Linked DNA regions of Stegostoma tigrinum. The protein of the gene in region 2 interacts with the protein of the main gene of each other region in a pairwise test. Links are inferred from orthologs where the notes say so. Each region holds a gene or a part of one and is shown on either strand. Other genes may lie near its edges.

What was found. The genes of interacting proteins can lie anywhere in the genome.
Region 1: the proteins of trip10a (region 2) and rho GTPase-activating protein 17-like interact in binary tests that used the Homo sapiens proteins (3 or more experiments, as listed by UniProt). The link is inferred for Stegostoma tigrinum from reciprocal best matches to the Homo sapiens genes TRIP10 and ARHGAP17.

What each region holds. Positions count from the first base shown.
Region 1 is NC_081376.1:21,182,648-21,192,945, forward strand, and holds the start of rho GTPase-activating protein 17-like, read right to left. Parts: upstream 4,946-10,298; 5' UTR 4,627-4,945; coding exon 4,574-4,626; intron 1-4,573. UniProt on the Homo sapiens protein: Rho GTPase-activating protein involved in the maintenance of tight junction by regulating the activity of CDC42, thereby playing a central role in apical polarity of epithelial cells.
Region 2 is NC_081388.1:18,476,005-18,487,091, reverse strand, and holds the start of trip10a (cdc42-interacting protein 4 homolog), read left to right. Parts: upstream 1-6,873; 5' UTR 6,874-7,113; coding exon 7,114-7,137; intron 7,138-11,087. UniProt on the Homo sapiens protein: Required for translocation of GLUT4 to the plasma membrane in response to insulin signaling. Required to coordinate membrane tubulation with reorganization of the actin cytoskeleton during endocytosis.

The sequences.
Region 1 (10,298 bases), on a different chromosome or scaffold from region 2:
GTGCAAATTGTTTTTGTCCCATATAGCAGTCAGTCAATCAGGCAATGTGGTCATCTTGTGGCCGAATTGATATTTTACACACTAATGTCTGTGAAACAGTAGGGTACATCATCAGCATACTCTTCCCAATTAAGGTGCGACAGAGGAAAGATCATTGATAAAGATGCTTGGGCCTGGAGCACTACGCTAAGGAATTCCTGTTGTAATGTCCTGGAACTGAGGCGATTATCCTCAACAACCACAACTCTCTCCCTTCGTGCTAAGTATGACTCTAACCAAAGAGGAGTTTCCTCAAATCGCATTCATTTTAACATTTTTTTTTAAAAGAAAGATTTCTTTGATATCACATTATGTTAAACGCTGGCTCGACATCAAGGACAATGATTCTTGCCTCCCCTTTTGAGTTCAGCCACTTATCCATATTTGGATCAAGGACGTATTGAGGTCAGGAGCTGAGTGACTCAGACACAGCCTAAACCAACTGCAAAGTAACAGCTTATATCTGAGTAAGTGCTACGTGATAGCATTGTCAAAAATACCGTCCATCAACTTGCTGATGATTGAGAGTAGACTGAAAGAGCAGAAATGGCTGGATTGGAACTATCCTGCTCGAGGGCAGGGCACAGGTGGGTAACTTTTGCCTATTGTCAGGTAGATGACAGTATTATACTCCTTTGGCATCATTAACCAATTAAGGTCCTCATGTGAAAGATGCACTACTAACTACAATAAAATCTTAAAGATGTGATTTCCAGTGCTGATATGGCACAACAGACCGCAGAGCATGGAAAGCTTCAAGCCAACATTGTGTGCTGTCTCTCCATGGACACAGACATAGCCACAGAACAGAGACAGGCAGTGAGATTAAACTAGCTTCTTAACATCTGTCACCTGAACCTATCAATGGTATCTTAACCAGCATTAGGAACAGTCCAATGGCAAAGTCCTCTGACCTGCCTTCCCCAGTCAGCACTAGGTAGCCAAAGACCGAGAAGCATGAGGGTATATGCCACTCAAAATTGAATAGCTGCCACTTGATTCCAGTATTGTTGCTCTCAAACAAATCGATTAGGGGTGAGACTAGTCCTAGTACTCAAAACTGCAGCAGTAGTTAGCAAGTTTCAAGAACCATAGTCTTTGTAGAAACTAGAACCTTCAGTCCCTTGTTATCCCATGGAGAGTGTTGAAAGAAATTAATGACTGGCATCTAAGCTGCTGGGGTGCTGAGAGAAGCAGAAATCACATTCGGTGGTTCTGGCTGAAGATGGCAGCAAATACATCAGCCTGAGCTTATGCACTGATGTACTGGGCTCTTCCATCATTGAGAATGGAGATATTTGTGGAGTTTCCTTCACTGGTTAATTATTTCATCAACATTCACAACTGCATGGAGCTAGACTGAGATCTTTCATCAGAATCATCGTGAGAAATCTTAGTTCTGTCTATTGCATGCAGCTTAGAAGTAGGAATAGGCCATTCTGCACCAGCCTTCAATACGATCAGTGTTGGTACAATTTCCACATTCTTGTCTACCCTCTGACAATTTTTGTCTCCCTTCCTAGTCAAGGAAATATTCATATATCTTATTTCCACTCATCTCTACAGAAAACAGAATTCCAAGGTTCATGACCTTCAGGGAAAAAGATTTCGCCCTATCTCAGTCTTAAAAATGGGAGAACACGATGTTAAATGCCCCACATCTCTATTTAAATAATTTTACAACAGAGTGCGCTTCATATGTGGAATGAACTTCCAGTGGAAGTAGTCAATACAAATGTTGGTACATTTATAAAACATTTCGATAAGTACACGAATAAGAAATGTTTGACGGAATATGGGCCAATGCAGGCAGTTGGGAGGACTAGTTTAGTTTGGGGCAATGATCGATATGAACTGGTTGGATTGAACGGTCTGTTTCCATGCTCTATGACTCTATAATATGCTTCTGTTCTCTTCTTTCTGGGAAAGTGGACAAGTTCATAGTTCCTTAAATTATACCTCATCCGTCATTCCCCCCCTCATTTAACCTATATATATCCCTTTGTAGGATCCTAATTTCCTCCTCTCAACTTACCTTCCTGCCTTTGTGTCATCAGCAAGTTTAGCTACTGTATATTTGGATCCTTCACATAAATCAGAGAAGTTTTCAAAGCTGAGGCCCCAGCGCCATTCCCTGTGGCACTCAACTTGTCATATCTTGCCATATTGAAAATTACCCATCTATCCCTAATGTTTCCTCTTGGCAAACCAATCTTCCATCTATGCTAACGTGTTGCCCCATATAACATGATATCTAACTTTGCAGAGTAATCTCTGATATGCCACCTTCTCAAATGCTTTCCAGAAATCTAAGTCTTATTATACATCCACAGGTTCCCCTTTATCTACATCATAGTCCTGGTACATGACTTTCTGAAAGAATGCCAACAAGCAATAAATTAGTTAAACATGATTTCTTTTGCACAAAATCATACTGATTCTTCCAGAATGAATTGGGAGTTTTGAAGTCGCTCGCTATAAGCTTCTTAATAACTGCTTCCAACATTTTCCCTGAGTGGTATATATATTCTGGCTTTCTGTCTTCATTGTTCCTTCATGTTTGCTATTTTCCAACATGCTGAGACCTCAAGTAGATGCTTTCGTCTCAGCCAGTACGTTGCAGAAAGGCAGACCTTAAAAGGTTAATCAATTCAAGACACAGATGAAATACTAGTCTATCCATCAATAGTACAAATATTCAATCACATCAAGGTTGCAAAAGCCTATTATTTAGTGCATTTCACATCCCCTAAGGAAGAATCCACCATTAAAGTGTATAACTGTGTTGCTTTTCATCATGACAATCTTCCTAACAAAATAATCATCAGCACAAGACCTCGTCTCAAGTTATGGAACCAACATATCCAACACACAATCCACAGTTATAATTGAAACAAATTCTCCCAGGGAAATTGAGAAACTTAAATTGCAAAATAGGCATAAAAGCACATGCTACGTTAACAGATCTGCTCTCATTGATTTGTTACCTCCACAGGCATTTCACGCTAACTAGTAACTACTACAAACAAATTCTCAATGCAATTTAATATTTCAATAAAACATATCAAAATATATCAAATAATCTCAGGTTTATTACGACACTTACAACATTTGATGTCAGCCTCAATTTTTCAGATTTTTCTTAACTATGTTTAAGTCCGGATAAACAATTACCGCCCACACAACTGGGTTATTTCTCCTTCCAATAGCATGAACGTATCATAACGAGGGGCGAGAGCCAACTTATAGTCGGAAGATGCATTTAATTTCCCAGTACACACTCTAAGGGTACATATTCACAATACTGACCAAAAATGGTGTATTTCTAGCAATTTCCATTTACAATAAAAAACAAATTTGCATCGTCTTTCTTTTCAATTTTAACTCTTCAGTTTTGTAAATTGCAAAGTAACAGTACCATAGAAGTGTCAATGTACTGCACTCCATCGCCAATAGCAATGAAATAGGCACCGTTGAGAAATTGCTGAGCACAAAACAAAATCTGAAATCACAAGGCAAATCAAAACGAAGCTAAATGGTGGTCAGGCAAACATGCCCCAGAATACTAATTTGACAAACAGGAAAGCATCCGATCTGACTGGGTCGCTGCAAGGGATCGGAAACAAAGAATAGGCAAACGAGCAGTCTGGAGCGGAGAGAGAGGTTGTTTGCTAAAAGGGTTTAGTGACCTATGGTGGATCCCTTCAACTCGGGGTTGAGTCAGCTTTGTACTGGGCGCCCTGTAATGCACGTTTAATTCCAAAGTCCTGTTATTTCAATATTCGAGGATCGAAAGTACTTATCCAACCATATCGCTCATAATGTGCGCCGCAACATGTGAATTAAAGTAATTAAATCCAGTACCGCGGTCACTTCCGCCAATTTCTGCAAAACTGTTTTTCGATGTTGCAAACTCGTTGTTGATCACAAGTTTGAGCTTAGGCAGCGTCCGATGGACTCTCAGTAACGCCAGTTGTGACAGTTTTACAGAGCAGACCAAACACCTCAAATTAAGGGTCGAGTTACACTAGTGGCAAACCACCTACTTTACTAAAATAGTCTGATTTGCATTGAAAGCTACCGACATGGTAATGGAGATAATGGGAACTGCAGATGCTGGAGATTCATGGTAATAATCGCTCAACACTTCATCGGCCGTCGCCTCACTGCTTTACATAAAGCCACAGCACGACGTACAGAAAATGTTAACGCAGTAAACAGAAACTGACAACTCCGAAAGTTGTGCTGAGGTCGTAGTCTGGCCCCCGCCCGGTGGGGAACTTTGAGCTCGAGACAAGATTGAAACCGATGCACCCAAACTACCTTGGTGCAAGCGGCCTGGGTACAACTTTACCAGGAGCTTTTTCTTTTGTTTTAAAAGTGGAAATCAATGGAACGAGCAGTCTCAGAAAGTTGCAGATGTGACTCCCACGAGTTCTCCGATGAGTTTCAGACCCGATCGCTCTAACACCACCCCCCAAAAAAATAACAAACTATCTGTCTCCTCTGGGGAGCTCCCGGTGACGGTGCTTACCTTCCCACAGTCTGGTTGGCGAGCTGCCGCATCCGATTAAACTGCTTCTTCATGGTTTCTCCCGGGCCGGCTAGCTTGGAAGTTTCGCCCTGAAGAGTAGATTTTTACAGCGAGTGTGTCCAGGCCGCTGGGCACATCCTGGGGCCGTCCGTGCGCGGACACTCGCGCTTTCCCTCTTCGCCCAGCGCCAAACACCCGCAGCTGTCCCGAGGCTGTGCAAACGCCCCCCTCACCCCTTCCCCTGTGTCCTCCCCGGCTCCCGGTAAGCCCTCTCTCACCCCGACTCTGTCTCCACCGGGATGCTCTGAACCGCCCAGCTCACAACAAGGTTGCACCGCCACCCAACTCAGGGCCAACCGGAAGCGCCTCTACCTCCCACTTCCGTTACTAAGGGAGGGGAGGGGGCGGAGGCAACAACAACAACAACAGAAGCAGTAAACCGGGCGAAGACGGTCGGGGGTTTCATTGTCACTCCTGGAGTTCAAAGCTCCCAGTCCACATTTGTCTCACTAACGAGCCAAGAGGCCACCCATTGTTCTGAACTCTCACAAGAATATGGAGAAGATCGTGTGTAAATGCATTTTCTTTTTCATCTTTTAATAAGTCAGACCTGCAACTCGTGAAAATCAGAGCACTCCAAATGTAAAAGTGAAAGTTCAAAGAGTAAGCCAGAAACTGCCTGTGTCAACACACCTCTGTATCCCACACCTGAATATGACCTCGAATGTACTTGCCTGACTGACAAGACACTGTATTTGTCTGAGTTTCGGGTTTTCTTTAAGTCTTTTGGATGTTTCAGAATTCTTTCTTTCCCAAGAAAATCTGCATGTGTTTATTGCTATACCAGAAACAACCATCTCCAAGCATTCAGTTACTTCCCAAAAACAAACCCTTTATATCACTTCGTTGCTGAGATTAAAAAAAAACTTTGGACATTATGAACCATTCTAACTATTCCAGCTGAAGATTTTAAATATAACAATAAGAATACCTTCTGGTGTAAACAACCATATTATCCTGGTAAGTGGAAGCATCCTCATGTTTCAGCCAGAAGGTTATTAGATCACACTCTGATTCTTGGAATTCAGCAGCATATTGATAGGGAAATAGACAACTCAGGGCCAGCTTAATTGCCTTCTTTCAAATTAAACATTAAACTGTGATCCCATTTGTCTTTTTAAGTGAGTATAAAGGGTCCATTGATACTTTTTCAAAAAAAGGTCAGGGAATTCTCATAATGACTATACAAATGGCCAATGTTTGTTCTTCAATCACCATTCCCAAAAAAAACATCATTTAGTCATTCAAAAGTACTCTTTCATTGCTGATCTGGTTGTGGTCTCAACTCCACTTTACTGTTTACCTCTCATAACCCTTGATTTCCTTGTCTGTCAGAAGTTCTATCTAATTCAGCCTTGAGTAAGTTCGATGATCCAAACTCTACTGCTTTTAGAGGAAGAGAATTCCACATAATGATCTTCAGAGAGAAAAAGGGTAATTCATCATATTGCTCTTGTCAAGATTTATTTGGCATATTTCAGTTGTCATCTTTGCTTCATGGCAGTAAAAGCAAATTTTTTTTAAAAATTGTTAGCTGCGAAGACTTTGAAATATTCTAGATCATAAAAGGCACCACTCAAGCAAAAGGTTCTTCCATGGAATGCATCCTATCTATGCATCTAAAGAGTTTCGATGACCTTTCTACGTTGATAGGCATGGGAAAGGACAAAGCACGATATCTATCCTATGCAGATGAAGCATTTATCTATACATCAGATTCCTTCACTTCAGTTTCCAATTTCAATAATTGTGTTAGTGTATTTGGAGCTCACTTAATGTACAAAATAAAACACACACAAACAGGGGCAATGTCAGTTATTGTTCAGTGTTCTCCAACTATTCTACTTAAAAGGGTCTTTAACAGATTTTATATTTCCTCAGGGTTAAGTTAATGCACACATGCCAAAACCTCAAGAAAGGCCAGTTTTCAGCATTGATGGCTTGCTGGACATCATCAATAACCATATGAATGTTAGTTAATGTACAAATCTCTGTGTTAATATTTTGAAAGAAATAAATTTTATTGTTTTTACACATTCATAAAAATTGGAATTCCAAAAGACCTGTCATTGGTCAATCCTCTTCCTTGGTGAGACCACACCTGGAATATTGTGTATAATTTTGGTATCCTTTTCTGAGGAAGGATGCTCTTGCTCTTGAGGGAGTGCAGCAAAGGTTTACCAAGCTGATTCCAGGGTTGGCGGGTCTGATGTACGAGGAGAGATTGACTAGGTTGGGATTGTTTTTGCTAGAGTTCAGATGAATGAGGGGATCTCATAGAGACTTATAACATTCTAACAGGACTGGACAGGGTAGATGCATGGAGGATGTTCCCAATGGTAGGTGCATCCAGAACCAGGGGTCAGAGTATGAGGATTCAGGGTAGACAATTTAGGATGGAGACGAGGAGGCATTTCTTCACCCAAGGAGCGGTGACCCTGTGGAATTCATTACAGGAAGTAGTTGATGACAAAACTTTGAATGTGTTAAAGAGGCAACCAAATATAGCTATTGGGGCGAATAAGATTAAAGGTTATGGGGAGAAAGCAGGATTAGGCCGTTGAGTTGGATGATCAACCATAATCATGAAGAATTGCGGAGCAGGCTAGAAGGGCTGAGTAGCCTCCTCCTGCTCCTATCTTCTGTGTTAAATGATGAAATTTGCCTTTTCTGCCATCTGGTGTTACTAAATGGTAGCACATAGAATTATGACTGAAATTCCAGAGTACAAGTTGTTCCGAGCCTGTTAAAACAGTTTTCAGCCACACTCTGGTCACCAAGGAAAATGACATCGTTGACTGTACTCAGTAGTATATGTAACATGAACACTGATTTGTAACAAGCCAAGATCACATGATCAAAGGGCGTGTGTTAAAACCCCTGTTCCCGGCATTTATAAATAACCTATGTATACAATCTCAATCCATGTCGGTATAAATGGCAGGTGACACCAAGAGATTGAAAGTGATAGCGATGGTTCAAGGGAAGTTCATATTTTATAAAATTCTTGGTCCTGTAGCTACTCCTAACAAGAGATAGTACGTAACACTCCTCTGTCTTGTGCCACCCTCATATATCCACTTCAGCCATTTTCTGACGTTTGGCTTCCAACTATATGTAGGTCAATGCTTTTTTACTGCCCTGTACTTTGCCCTCTTAAAGAGATTGTGGTAGTTTTTTGGATTCAATAAAATGGCAAAGATATGTGCATTTCCATTAATGGAGTTCTGTTTAGCTCTTGCAATTTCAAGAACTTCATTTGCCTTAGGATTTATATAGGGAATTTTAAACATGGCTTGGTGTCCACATTTCAAAGGCCTCAACTTTCTTCGACAGATCTTTTACGTATTGTCCGGTGTCTGCGTGGTCCACTGGTAATGTCACTGGACAAGCAATCCAAAAACCCAGGCTAATAGTCTGGAATAGCTATTCACATCCCATTAAGTCATAGAGCCATAGAGATATACAGCACAGAAACAGACCCTTTGGTCCAACTTGTCTATGCTGACCAGATATCCTATACAAATCCAATCCCATTTGCCAGTATTTGGCCCATATGCCTCTAAACCCTTCTTATTCATATACCCACCCAGATGCCTTTTAAATGTAGTAATCATACCAGCTTCCATCACTTCCTCTGGCAGATCATTATGTACACGCGCCACCCTCTGTGAAAATGTTGCTCCTTAGGTCCGTTTTACATCTTTATCTTCTCACTTTAAACTTATGCCCTCTGGTTTTAGATTCTCCCACCCTGGGGAAAAGACCTTGTCTAGTTACCCTATCCATGCCCTTCATGATTTCATAGATCTCTGTAAAGGTGACCCCTCAGCCTCCAAAACTCCACAATTGTGTTATAGCAGAACCATCTGTAGCCCCACTGTACTCAGCCTCTCCCTATGGCTAAAATCCTCCAACCTTGGCAACATGCTTGTGAATCACAACATCCTTCCTATAAGAGGCAGATCAATACTTCATGCAATACTCCAAAAATGGCCGAACCAATGTCCTGTACAGCCACAACATGACATTCCAACTCCTATACTCACTGCACAGACTAATAAAGGCAAGTATACCAAAGCACAGCTGAATTTAAATTCAGTCCTTAACCTGAATATGAAGCCTGCAGCAGTTAGGTGACCATGAAACCATTGTTGTAAAAGCCCAGCTGTTTCACTCATGTCTTTTAGGAAAGGAAGTCTCCCATCATCACCTGGTCTGGCCTTTTAGTGATCATCCCAACTGGATTCTGTAGTTTCAGAGATAGTAGGAACCGCAGATGCGGGAGAATCTTAGATAACAAAGTGTAGAGCTGGATGATCGGAGCAGGAAGACCTGCTGTGTTCATCCAGCTCTACACTTTGTTATCTTGGATTCTGTAGTGATTGGGACAAGGTTGACCTCATTAACTATGAGATTCTTGATTGGGGTTGTTAACCTGGACCAATTAGGAATGCCTTAACCAACCAATAAAACCAGGAGATTAGAGTCTCCCTAGTTGAGGTTTGACTCTGAGCTGGCTGATTGTTGCCAGTGTACTGTGCACAAGTAAATAAAGGGTGACTTTATTTCATGTACACACATGACTGACCTTTAAATGCTATCTGAAATGATCTAGTATGCCACTCAGTGTCAAACCAAAAGGATAGGGCTGAGAGGAATGAAAATTGAAACAGACAAATCAGCCTGAGCACTAGAATCAACAATTGAACACCCAGCCCTGCCTGGCCTGCAAAGTTCTCCTTTACCAATATTCCAGAACTTGTGCCAAATTTGAGAGAGCTGACCCACAGACTAATCAAGCAACAGCCTGCCAAGCCCATGACTTCTACTATCTAAAAGGACAGGGACAATGAATTCATAAGAACACCACCAACTCAAAGTTCCCCTCCAGGCTATACAGCCCCTGGCCTGGAAGTATACTGCCATTCCTTCACTGTAACTGGATCAAAATGCTAGAAATCCTTTTGTAACAGCACAATGGGTGTATCTACCTTGCATGGACTGCTGCAGGCCCAGAAGTTGGCTCATCACCACCTTCTCAAGTACGATTAGGAATCAGCCTTAAATGGCAGCCTAGCCAGTGACTCCCACATCTCTTGAAAGAAGTTAGAAGAAGTACCTCTAATATAATAAAAAAAAGCATCCCATGTCACTTTGTGATGAATCATGAAATGCTTGAATGGTTACAGCTCAGGAGTCTATTTGACCTGTCATTCCATTCCTGCTATCTATAAGTGCTGCAGTTAATCCCAATCTCCTGCACTTTATTTGTATCCCCACAAATGTTTCCTCTTTAGATAATTAGTCATTTGAAAGTCTTGACTGAATCTGCCTCTACTACATTGTAAGGCAGTGCATTCCAAATCCTAACCACTCACCAAATTAAGACATGTTCTTTGGTGCTGTCATTGCTTCTTTGGCCAATTACCTCAAATTGGTGTCCTCTACTTCTCAACCCTTTTGTCAATAAGGACATTTGTTCCCTATCTGGTCTGATTTTAAATATGAAAAAAAAATCCAGCTTCACCAATTTATCCATGTAACTGAAGTTTCTCAAATCTGAAATCATTCTGGTAAAATCTTTTCTACACTCTCTCCAATGCCTTTACATCTATACTATGTATGAGAAGAGATGAGCATCCAGCATTGGAGATAGTATACA
Region 2 (11,087 bases):
ATTAGAGATAACACAGTGTGTAGCTGGAGGAACACAGCAGGCCAGGCAGCATCAGGGATAACACAGTGTGGAGCTGGAGGAACACAGCAGGCCAGGCAGCATCAGAGATAACATAGTGTGGAGCTGGATGAACACAGCAGGCCAGGCAGCATCAGAGATAACACAGTGTGGAGCTGGAGGAACACAGCAGGCCAGGCAGCATCAGAGATAACACAGTGTGGAGCTGGAGGAACACAGCAGGCCAGGCAGCATCAGAGGAGCAGGAAAGCTGATGTTTTGGGCCTAGACCCTTCTTCAGAAATGGGGGAGGGGAAGGGGGCTCTGAAATAAATAGAGAGAGGGGGAGGCGATGATAGAAGGTGGATAGAGGAGCAGATAGGGTGGAGATAAGACAGACAGGTCAAGGAGGTGGGGATGAAGCCAGTAAAGGTGAGTGTAGGTAGGGGGTTGGAATTGGGGTTGGTCAGTGAGGAGGGAGGGGCAGGTAGGTGGGAGGGAAGACAGACAGGTTAAGGGGGCATGAGGCTAGCAGTTAGGTTGTGGGGGTGGGGGTCGGTCAGTGAGGTGTGAGGAGTGGATAGGTGGGAGAAAAGATGGACAGGTCAAGGAGGCAGGGGCGAGATGAGCTGATCTTGGGATGAGGTCGGGGGGTGGGGAGATTTTGACGCTTGTAAAGTCCACATTGAGACCATTGGGATGCAGGGTTCCCAAGTGGAAAATGAGGTGCTGTTCCTTCCACTTGGAGTGGCATCATTGTGGCACTGGAGGAGGCCCAGGATGGACATGTCATCCAAGGAGCGGGAGAGGGAGCTGAAGTGGTTCACGACTGGGAGGTGTTGTCTTTTGTCACAAACCGAGAGTACGTGCTCCACAAGCAGTCTCTGAGCCTGCACTTGGTTTCCCCGATGAAGAGGAGGCCACATCGGGAACAGCGGATACAATATACCACATTAGCGGGTGTGCAGGTGAACATTTGTTTAATGTGGAACGTTTTCTTGGGGCCTGGGATGGGGGTGATGGGGGAAGTGTAGGGGCAGGTGTAGAAGTGAACATGATTGATTTGGATTTCCAGAGGCCTTTGACAATGTGCCACACAGGAGGCTGCAAAGTAAGATAAAAGCCCCATTGCGTTACGGGCAAGGTACTGGCATTGATAGAGGATTGGCTGACTGGCAGAAGGTAGAGAGAGGGGATAAAGGGATCTTTCTCAGGATGGCAGCTGGTGAAGAGTGGAGCTTTGCAGGGGTCAGCGTTGGGACCACAACTATTTACAGTATACATTAACGATCTGGACAAAGGAACTGAGAGCATTGTTGCTAAGTTTGCTGATGACACACTGATAAGAGACGGGTAGTGTTGAGGAAATAGGGAGACAGCAGAAGGACTTTTTCAGGAGAGTGGGCAAAGAAGTGGCAGAGGGAATATAATGTGAAGAAGTATGATGTTAGGTATAAATTGGGAAAGTATGAGGTATTTTACTTTGGTAGGAAGAATACAGGCAGAGACTATTTTCCAAAAGGATACAGACTTTAGAAATCTGAAGAACTAAGTGAATTAGGAATCCCAGTTCAAGGTTCCCTTAAGATTAACATGCAGGTTCAGTAGGCAGTTACAAAAGCAAATGCAAGGTTTACATTCATTTCAAGGGGGTTAGAACACAAGGACAAGGCTGAATAAGGCACTGATCAGACTGCATTTGGAATATTGTGAGCAGTTTTGGACCATACATCTAAGGAAAGATGTACTGGCATTGGAGGGGGTCCAGAGGAGGTTTACCAGAATGATGCCAGGGATGAAGGGTTTGTCATATGAGGAGTGATTGAGGACACTTGGCCTATAGTCAGTGGAGTTTAGAAGAATGAGAGGTGATCTCATTGAAACATACTGAATACTGAGAGATTTGCATGGAGTTGCCATGGAGAAAATGTTGCCGCTAGTAGTAGATACTAGAACCCGAGGACATAGCTTCACAACGAAGGGACAACCCTTCAGAATTGAGATGAGGAGGAATTTCTTCAGCCAGAGGGTGATGAATCTGTGGAACTTATTACCCACAGTGTACTAAGTTATTAAGTGTATTTAAGACAGTGATAAACAGGTTCTTGAGTAGTAAACAAATTGAAGGTTATGGGGAGATGGCAGGAGAATGCAGCTCAAAAACATATCAGGCATGATCAAATGGTGGAGCAGGCTTGATGGGCCAAATGGCTTCATTTCACTCTTCTGTCTTATGGTTTTATAGTATCTGCCCCAGCTTATCCAGTTCCCGCTTAAAGATATGCAGAGTCAGCACCACTGCACTCACTAGACACACTTTCGGTATCAGGCTGACTATCATTGATGAATTTGTACAGGGCAGTGAGTGTGCGCACAGGGATATTGTGAGTGTCTTCCTCCCCCAAACATATAAGAGGTCTGTACAAAACCGTTGCAAAAATGTTTAACATGTCTGCACATGTCAAAGAAATTCTTTGTGGAATTATGGCCGCACAGGTGTGAGGTTATCTGTTCCAGTCATAGGGTCATAAAGATATACAACACAGGAACAGGCCATTTAGTCCAACTTGTCCATGCTGACGAGATATCGCTTATACAGACTATACCTCTCAATGATACTTTGGTTGACCTTTATAAACCACTCCTAACCCACACTGAACATTTAAGAGAAAAGTCATTGTAGGATTTCTACCACACAGAGGGCAATAGAATCAAATCAGCCCCGCTTTAAGGTTAAGAAAATATATTCTATCTGACCTACCCAATATTCTTCATTGCTAATAAAAATTGGAATGCCACTGATTAGATTAAACTGAGAACTGGCATATTGGTTACAACTGATAACAATAGATGTTTGCTCTCACATAATGCACAAAACACAGTTTAAAGTCTGCAACGCTGGGATCTGAGGATATGTTCTCAAACAAGATTCCTACTGTTTTCTCTGCATATTTGACGCTTGATCACTATGAGTAAAACTGTATCTGGTCATTTATCTCAGACTGACTTATGGGAGCTTGCTGTGTACAAATTGATGACCACAATGATCACGTTTCAAACATACAATGCCATAGTGAATGACTTCAGGGTGGCCTGATGTTACAAATACGACATGGGTGCCATTTATTTTACGGAAAGTATCAAAAAGAATCTGGTGCCACCAGCAGGAGGATCAATATTCAGAGGATCCAGTTTTCAGATAACTGAAAAAACATGCAGAAGGCATATGAGACTTTTATTTTACTGCAGTCTGTCATCATGAAATGGGATGGACAAGCTTGAAAAGGTTGTGGAAGCAGATCCAATGGTGACTTTCTAGAGGGACCATAAAACGCAGGGGCAGAAGTAGGCCAATTCGCCCATCGAATCTGCTCTGCTGTTTGATGAGATAAAAGCTGATCTGATCATCCTAAACTCCAAATTAAAAATCTGCCTTTCTCAGCCTTCAATATACTTAGTGACTCAGCCTCAACAGCCTTCTGTGGTAAATAATTCCACAGATTAGTGAGCCCTTGTGAGAAAAAAATTCCTCCTCATCTCTGTTTTAAATGTGCAACTTTTCTCTTGGACGATGCCCTCTGGTCTTAGACTCTCTCCCAAGAGGAAAGGGGGCAGCATGGTGGCTCAGCAGTTAGCCCTGCTGCCACACAGCACCAGGCACCTTGGTTCAATTCCAGCCTCAGGCAACTGTCTGTGTGGAGTTTGCACATTCTCTCCACGTCTGCATCTTTCCTCTATGTGCTCCGGTTTCCTCCCACAGTCCAAAGGTATGCAGGTTAGGGTGGATTGGCCAGGCTAAATTGCCAATAGTGTCCATGGATAAGTTGATTAAATAGGTTTAGGGAATGGGTCTGGGTGGGATGCCCTAAGGACTTGTTGGGCCAAAGGGCCTGTTTCCACACTGGATGGATTCTATGGAATAATCAAACAACTTTTTCATATCTACCCCACCAAGACCCTTAAGAATCTTTTATGTTTTAATTAGGTCTCTTTTTGTCTTTCTAAACCCCAACGGATATAAACACAACCTCCTCATAACAAAATTCCATCATTCCAAGTGAACCTTCTCTGTATGACTCCAACGCTAGTAAAGCTTTCCTTAGCTAAGGGTACTAAAGTTGTTCACAGTATTTCAGATGTGGTCTGATTAATGCCTTGTATAGTTTTAGCAAGACTTCCCCTATCTTTATACTTTATCCCTTTCAAATACAGGTCAACAGTCCATTTGACATCTCTATTACCTGATAAATCTTGGTTCGAGCATTTTGTGATTCAATCACAAAGGAACACAAGGTAGAAATTTGCAGGGCTTTTGGGCATTCTCAAAGCCAATGGAAGTAACAGAACATATCATTCCCTCCTGAAGCCCTCAGTACTTCTCCAAAGGATACACTGCAGAGTTTTGACATGCACCGGTTCTGTTGAGAACCAAAATTAGTTGCAGTAAATCTTGGCTTCTTCCCTCACACGTTCTCACCAAACTTGGTGCCACCAGAATGCTCACTCTCGGTCTGCATTTACCCGTCCCAACCCCGGGCCATCTTCTGTTCTCCACATCCTTCCTGAAATTCCCTGATCTTGCCCAAAACCACCTGTGTGAATCTCTGTCCATTTGCCGACTGCTTTCATTCAAATAAATGTAGAGAAATTATCTCTAAACCTGTCAGCTGAGGAACAAAAATACATCCAGTTTTCATTCATCAACTGCCTTGTAGATTATTAGGTTGGTGGGGGGGGGAAGAGGTAAGGTCAGTTAACCGGATGGTTTGCAATCCAGAGCGATGCCAACAGTATGGGTTCAATTCCTGCACCAGCTAGGATTAGCATAACAGATTTTCCTTCTCACCCTCTCCCCTGACCTGAGGGTGCAGTGACCCTCATGTTAAACCACTATCAGTTATCTCTCTCCAATGAGACAGCAGCCCTATGGTCCAATAGGACTGTAACAACTTTACCATTACACGTGAAAATGCCACTAGGGCATTAGCTCCTCTTAAGCCGTGCAGTCTCCAGGCCAGATGAAGCCGCAATAATTTCTTTCCCCCTTTATTCATTCACAGGATGAGGGCACTGCTGACTAGACAGCATTTAGTCCTCACAGTCAACCACATGGCGATGGGTCTGGACCCACATGTAGGCCAGACCAGTTAAGAACAGTAAAACGAATTTGCTGAAGTGGCTCAGCAGGTCTGGCAGCATCTGTGAAAGAAAAAAACAAGTTCATGGTTCGGGTCTGGTGATCCTTCCTCAGAAAATGTTAAGAATAGCAGTTTCTTTCCCTGAAGGGCATTAGTGAACCAGACAGGGTTTTTCCCCAACAACAAGTTCATGGTCATTATTAGATTCTTAATTCTAGAGATTCTATTGAATTCAAATTCCACCAGCTGCTGTGGCAGGATTCAAACCTGGGTCAGTAGGATGTTATCTGGCTCTTTGGATTACCACTCTAGCAATAATACCATTAGGCCATTGTCTCCTCTTAATATTTCTGAAGTGAAGCTGAATTTTCCTTACCGCACCAGACCATGTAAACATTAACTCAATGAGATCAAGAAGTAAAATACTGCAGTTGCTCGAAATCTGAAATAAATACAAAGAGTGATGGAGAAACTCAGTGGGTTTGGCAGCATCACTGTCTCTGATTTGACTCTTTTGGAGAAGATTCACACCAAGCTCAGAATATTGACTCTGTTTCTCTCTCCACAGATGCTGCCAGAGACCAAAAGTACTATAATAAAACAAAGGAGCATGAACGGTGAAGATCTGAAATGAAATTAGAAATTGCTGGAGAAACTCAGCAGGTCTGGCAGTATCTGTGAACAGATCTCAGTGTCTCTGGTTTGACATACTGGACTCAAAACCATTAACTCTGTTTTCTCTCTCTACAGGAGCTGCCAGGCCTGCTGAGTTTCTCCAGCGATTCCTGTTTTTGACCAAGAATACTATACTTTGCCCCTTTAACAGTGCTAGCCTGCACACCTAGCTGTAGGCTATGTGCGGTGAGGGTGCTTGCTGTGTTTTCTAAACTGCAGCAGTATAGTGTAGTAAGGGAGCAAATTACTGCAGAAGCTGGAATCTCTACTGAAAACAACAAATGCTGGAGATCTCAACAGGTCAAGTAGCAAGCTAACGTGATGAGTATGGATGACTCTTCATTAGAGCTTAAGATGCTCTGATGAAATGTCATCTAGACTCGAAACATTAGTTTTTCTGGTAATTACCCTTCTTCAGAATACCCAAAACGTTGACTGCTCCTTTCCTCCAGATGCTGCCTGGCCTGCTGTCTTCTTCCAGCCTCCAGTTCACCTACTTTGGATTCCAGCATCTGCAGTTCTTTTTGTCTCGAAACGTTAGCTTGCCGCCTCTCCTGAATGCTGTTTGGCTGTGATTTGTTGTTTCTCAATGTGATGGTGTTCCCTTTAACAGCACCAGCTATGTACGCCTTGCTGCAGAGTGAGTGCAGACAGGGTGCTTGCTATCAGAGATAATGGGGACTGCAGATGCTGGAGAATCCAAGATAATAAAGTGTGAAGCTGGATGAACACAGCAGGCCCAGCAGCATCTCAGGAGCACAAAAGCTGACGTTTCGGGCCTAGACCCTTCATCCTCTGATGACCTAGACCCTCTGATGAAGGGTCTAGGCCCGAAACGTCAGCTTTCGTGCTCCTGAGATGCTGCTGGGCCTGCTGTGTTCACCCAGCTTCACACTATTATCTAGGGTGCTTGCTATGTTTTGTAAAAGAGCAGTATGCATTGTAGTGGGGGTGTTCCCTTTAACAAAACCAGTCATACACACCTTGCTGCAGACTGAGCGCTTGCTATGTTCTGCAAAACTGCAGTGAGGCGCCGTTGAGCTTTTACAGAGGCGGAGTGGTGACGCGGGATTGCGCAGCGCAGGGAAAGTCGTGGCTCAGAATTAACCAGGGGCTGGAGAAATGTTTACACTTTGAAGGATGCCAGGCACCTCATTCATATAGAGAGGAGTTTCTGCAATCAAATTCCAAATAGAACAAGAGACGGGACCAAGTGAGAGGAGAAAGAAATTAACATAGAGTCTGCTGATCAATTCTCTCGTTTGTTTCTTCCCAGCCTGAATTAAAGGCGAAGTTAAAAATCATGGAGTGGGGTTCGGAGCTTTGGGTGAGTGTTACTTTTTAAAAGATATAACCTGAGAGATCCTGGAGATGCTGATGGCGGGGATTTTTTTTATTAAAAAAGACGCTAGTCGTGTTGTATTTGGGAAGAATGAAAAAAAGCGAGCGTTTCCGATTCACTTCCATTGAGAAACGAGCTGAGAAAGTCCTTTTCTTTTAGCAATTTTCCCAATTATCTTCTTTAAAAGTTGTAAGAAAAGTTTTTCTTCGCTGCTATCTCGTGTGTGCTGGTGCTTCTGTTGCAGCGAAGGGAAAAATGTATTTTAGTCTTTCCTTGCCAGGATAGAAAGGGTTAGCTCTCTCTGTTCTCTGTGTTGTTTCAGGATTTGGCTCTTTTTAAGTTGGGAGCGATCGAGTTTCCAAACTTCTCCCAAGTGCATGTTTGTTGGGGGCGGGGGTTGGTGAAGAGCAGGAAATGCCCCCTCAGTCCTCTGGCCACCCTCCCTCCCTCCCCAGGCCAGTTTGTTTTTGTTTAAATGCTATGTCCCATTATCAATGTCTCAGTGTCCGTTTTGTTTGCTGTTAACTAATGTGAGAAACACACACACACGTATTTTGCAATTTCTTCCAAACAAAAAGAAACGATTTGTGTTTAAAGCCCCCCCACCCCCCCCCCCCCCCCCCCCCGCGTTACACAGGCGCTTCCCAGTCCTCACGGATGAATGGGACATTGAATAGTTACAACTGCTGGATTTCGACGTTTCTGTCTGGTGGGGAGGGGGGAAGTGTTGGTCCTTACAATTTTCTCCGAGCCCAGTTTCTCTCCTGCAGAGCTTTGCGGGGAGAAACCGATAAAAAAAAACCTGTTTGTGTATGTGCGTTCCCTTTTTTTTGTACCCTCCTTGCTGTAATCCGCAGTGCAGGAGCTGAGAATAGCAATTGAGAGATGTATCTTTACTGAGGCTCACCTTGACCAACCCAGTTTTAACAGAACATTAATCAAGGCTGTTGCTGGGTGAGCTCAGGGTGGGGGGTGTTCTGAGAGCTTTGTATTTGGGTGTATCCGCTGAACCGGAGATACGTGCAATTGTTTCTCCCTGTAATCATAGCACAAAGAGAGCCCTTTCAGCCCGTCCTGCCTGCGCAAGCTCGTTTAAAATGGCTATCCATTTACTCACAGGCTGCTTCCCCCCCACCCCCCCCACTTGAGAAATCGCAGGACCAAATCCGTTGCAGAGGTTTCACTGGGATTTGTACTTTTTTGTCGTCATTGTTTTTGGTCAAATATCTGTATAGCAGACTTTAAGGGGGTGGGCGGGCGTGGGGTGTTTATTAATGTGTCTGTGTGTTGTCTTGCTCCTCTATCTGAAGGCATTGTCAGGTGGGCTACAGTTTCAGTAGGTAGTACATTGTATTTAGGGCATGATACAGGCCATTTGGCCCAACTTCCTTTGACCCTTTCACGGGATGAGAGCATTGCTGGCAAGACCAGGCCATCCCTAATAGTCCCGGAGAGGGTGTTGGCAAACTGCCTGTTTGAATGGTTGCGATCCATGGTGGTTTAGCACTGTTTGCTGGTGATGTCTCAGGGCTTTGACTCAGGAACAGTGAACGATGTGGCAGCAAATTAGTTCCAAATCAGGATTGTGAGAGATTTGGAGGGGAACTTGGTGGTGTTCCCATTTATCTACTGCCATTATGCTTTGAGGGGGTGGAGATTATGCTTTAGACGCTGCTGTCGAAGGAGCCTTGGTGACTTTCTGCAGTGCATCTTGTCGATAGTACACCCTGTTGCTACTGAGTATCGTTGGCGGAGGGAGCACGCTCTGGAGGTGTGGTGCCATTTAGGCAGTCTGCTTTGTCCTGGATGGTGTCGAGCTTCTTGAGTGTTGTTGGAGCTGCAGCCATCCTGGGAAGTCGGGAGTATCCCGTCACACTCCTGACTTGTGTCTCATCAGCTCTGAGGAGTCAGGAGATGAGTTACTCTTCACATGGTTCCCAGTCTCTGACCTGCTTTTCTAGCCGCAGTATTTAGATGAATGGTCCAGTTCAGTTTCAGGTCCATGATGACTTCCAGGTTATTTATAGTTGGGGAAGAAAGATGGATGTCAAGGGTGGTCGGTCAGTTATCCATTTTATCATTTGTTCACGGGATGTGGGTGTCCATCCCTCATTGTCCTTGGGCAGGTGATGGTGGACTGTCTTGAGCCACTGTTTTAGATAATAGTTGCTAGGCATTTGGGTGGCACAAATGTTATTTGCCATGTATCAGCCCAATCCTGACTGACCCATGTTTTGCCACATGCAAGCAATAGCTGTTCATGATTGGTATTTTCAATTCCTCCCACCCATTGATTTCTCCCTATCAACACCATTGTTTTCTCCTCCATGTCGTTTCTCTAATTTCTCTTTTAAATGTTACTTCCCTTAACTACTTCATGTGGTAAAGAGTTCCATTTTCTCATTACTCTATGTAAAGATATTTTGCCTGAATTCCCATTATTGGTGACTATCTCGTTTAGTTCCGGTGTACCCAATAAGAGGAAATACCTGTGAAGAGAAATCAGAGTTAACACTTCAGGTCAGGTGACCCTTCCTCAGAACTTCTGGGGACGGCTCACCGGACCCAGAGTGTTAACACAGATTTCTCATCACAGATGCTGCCAGACTGACTGAGCTTTCCCAGCAACTTCTGTTTTCTGCGTTCACAGTTCTTTTGGGCTTTTACTTGAAGGGAAATATCCACTCGCTGTCAATCCTACCAAAACTGAGCAAAATTTTAAAGACTTATAACAATTGTTCCTCTATTGTCTTTTTTTATAAAAAGGAATAATTCAATGTTCCCTGACAGGCTCTCAATTGTAGTAACCACCAGATCCAGTGTTCCCTTATCCTATTTATAATCTGAGGACCAGAACTGTTTGCAGTGCTCCAAGTTGTCTAACCCAAATTTAGTACAAGTTTAATGCTATACTCTGCTTTCAATTCAACCTGAGTTCCTAACTTTAGTGACTTGTATCCCTATATGACTAGATCCTTCTGTTTCCTGTTTAAATTCTTAATTACCAAAGTTTGTGTCTTCTTTATTCTTCCTATCAAAATGTATCACCTTGCATCATGTTAAAATTTATTTGCCATTACAGGGACAATCTGCAAATTTCTTAATGTGTTTCCACATTATCTTGTATTTCTCCTCCATATTAACTATTCTCCTCAGTTTTGGTTACGTCTGCACATTTTGAAATTGTGCTCCAGAATCTACATCGCTGATCCCTCTGGAATGCCACTTTCCATCTTTTGCCAGTAGCAGTCCTGTTATCCAGTGCTTCACTCCACATGTTGTCACAATGAGATGAGGAACGGTTGCAAAGAGAGAGGATTGATGGGTTTTGAGAGGGGAGGGGAGGGAGAGAGGATGGCCACCAGTTCTTGCCTCTGAGAGTTAACGTTGATGAATTCAGGTAAATGAATGTGTGATCTTGCACATAGGATTGGGAAAGATTGTTGAGCTCACTTGAGAAAGTCCACAGGATAACGTAAGGGCGATCACACAAACAGGCCTTGAAGGTTGAAATGGTCTATGTCAATCCTTTCGGTCTGCGTGAGTTTCCCCTCTCCCTTGTCCCCATACCCCTCAATTCCCGTCTCTCCCAATTAAACATCCAGTTAGTTCAGCTCTGGCTGTTTTGGTGCTGAACCAGCATATTCAGAAACTGCTGTTTTATTGATTATGGTTTAAAGTCTGTCAGTGACTGAGGCTCAAATGTTTTAGCTTTGATTAGTCAGTGAGTGCAGCACATTCTTTGGATGTGACAGAAGTCCTATCTCAATAGGACGCCATGTTCTGGGTTAGGGAGGGGAAACCAGTCTGGGAGCTTGCTGGTTAACAACACCCTGAAATGTAGTAGGTTGGATGTGAATCTGTGATGACCTGTTCAGTTGGTGAATCTACAAACTGTCAGAAATAACTTGCATTTATGTCCTTGACCTGTCTGT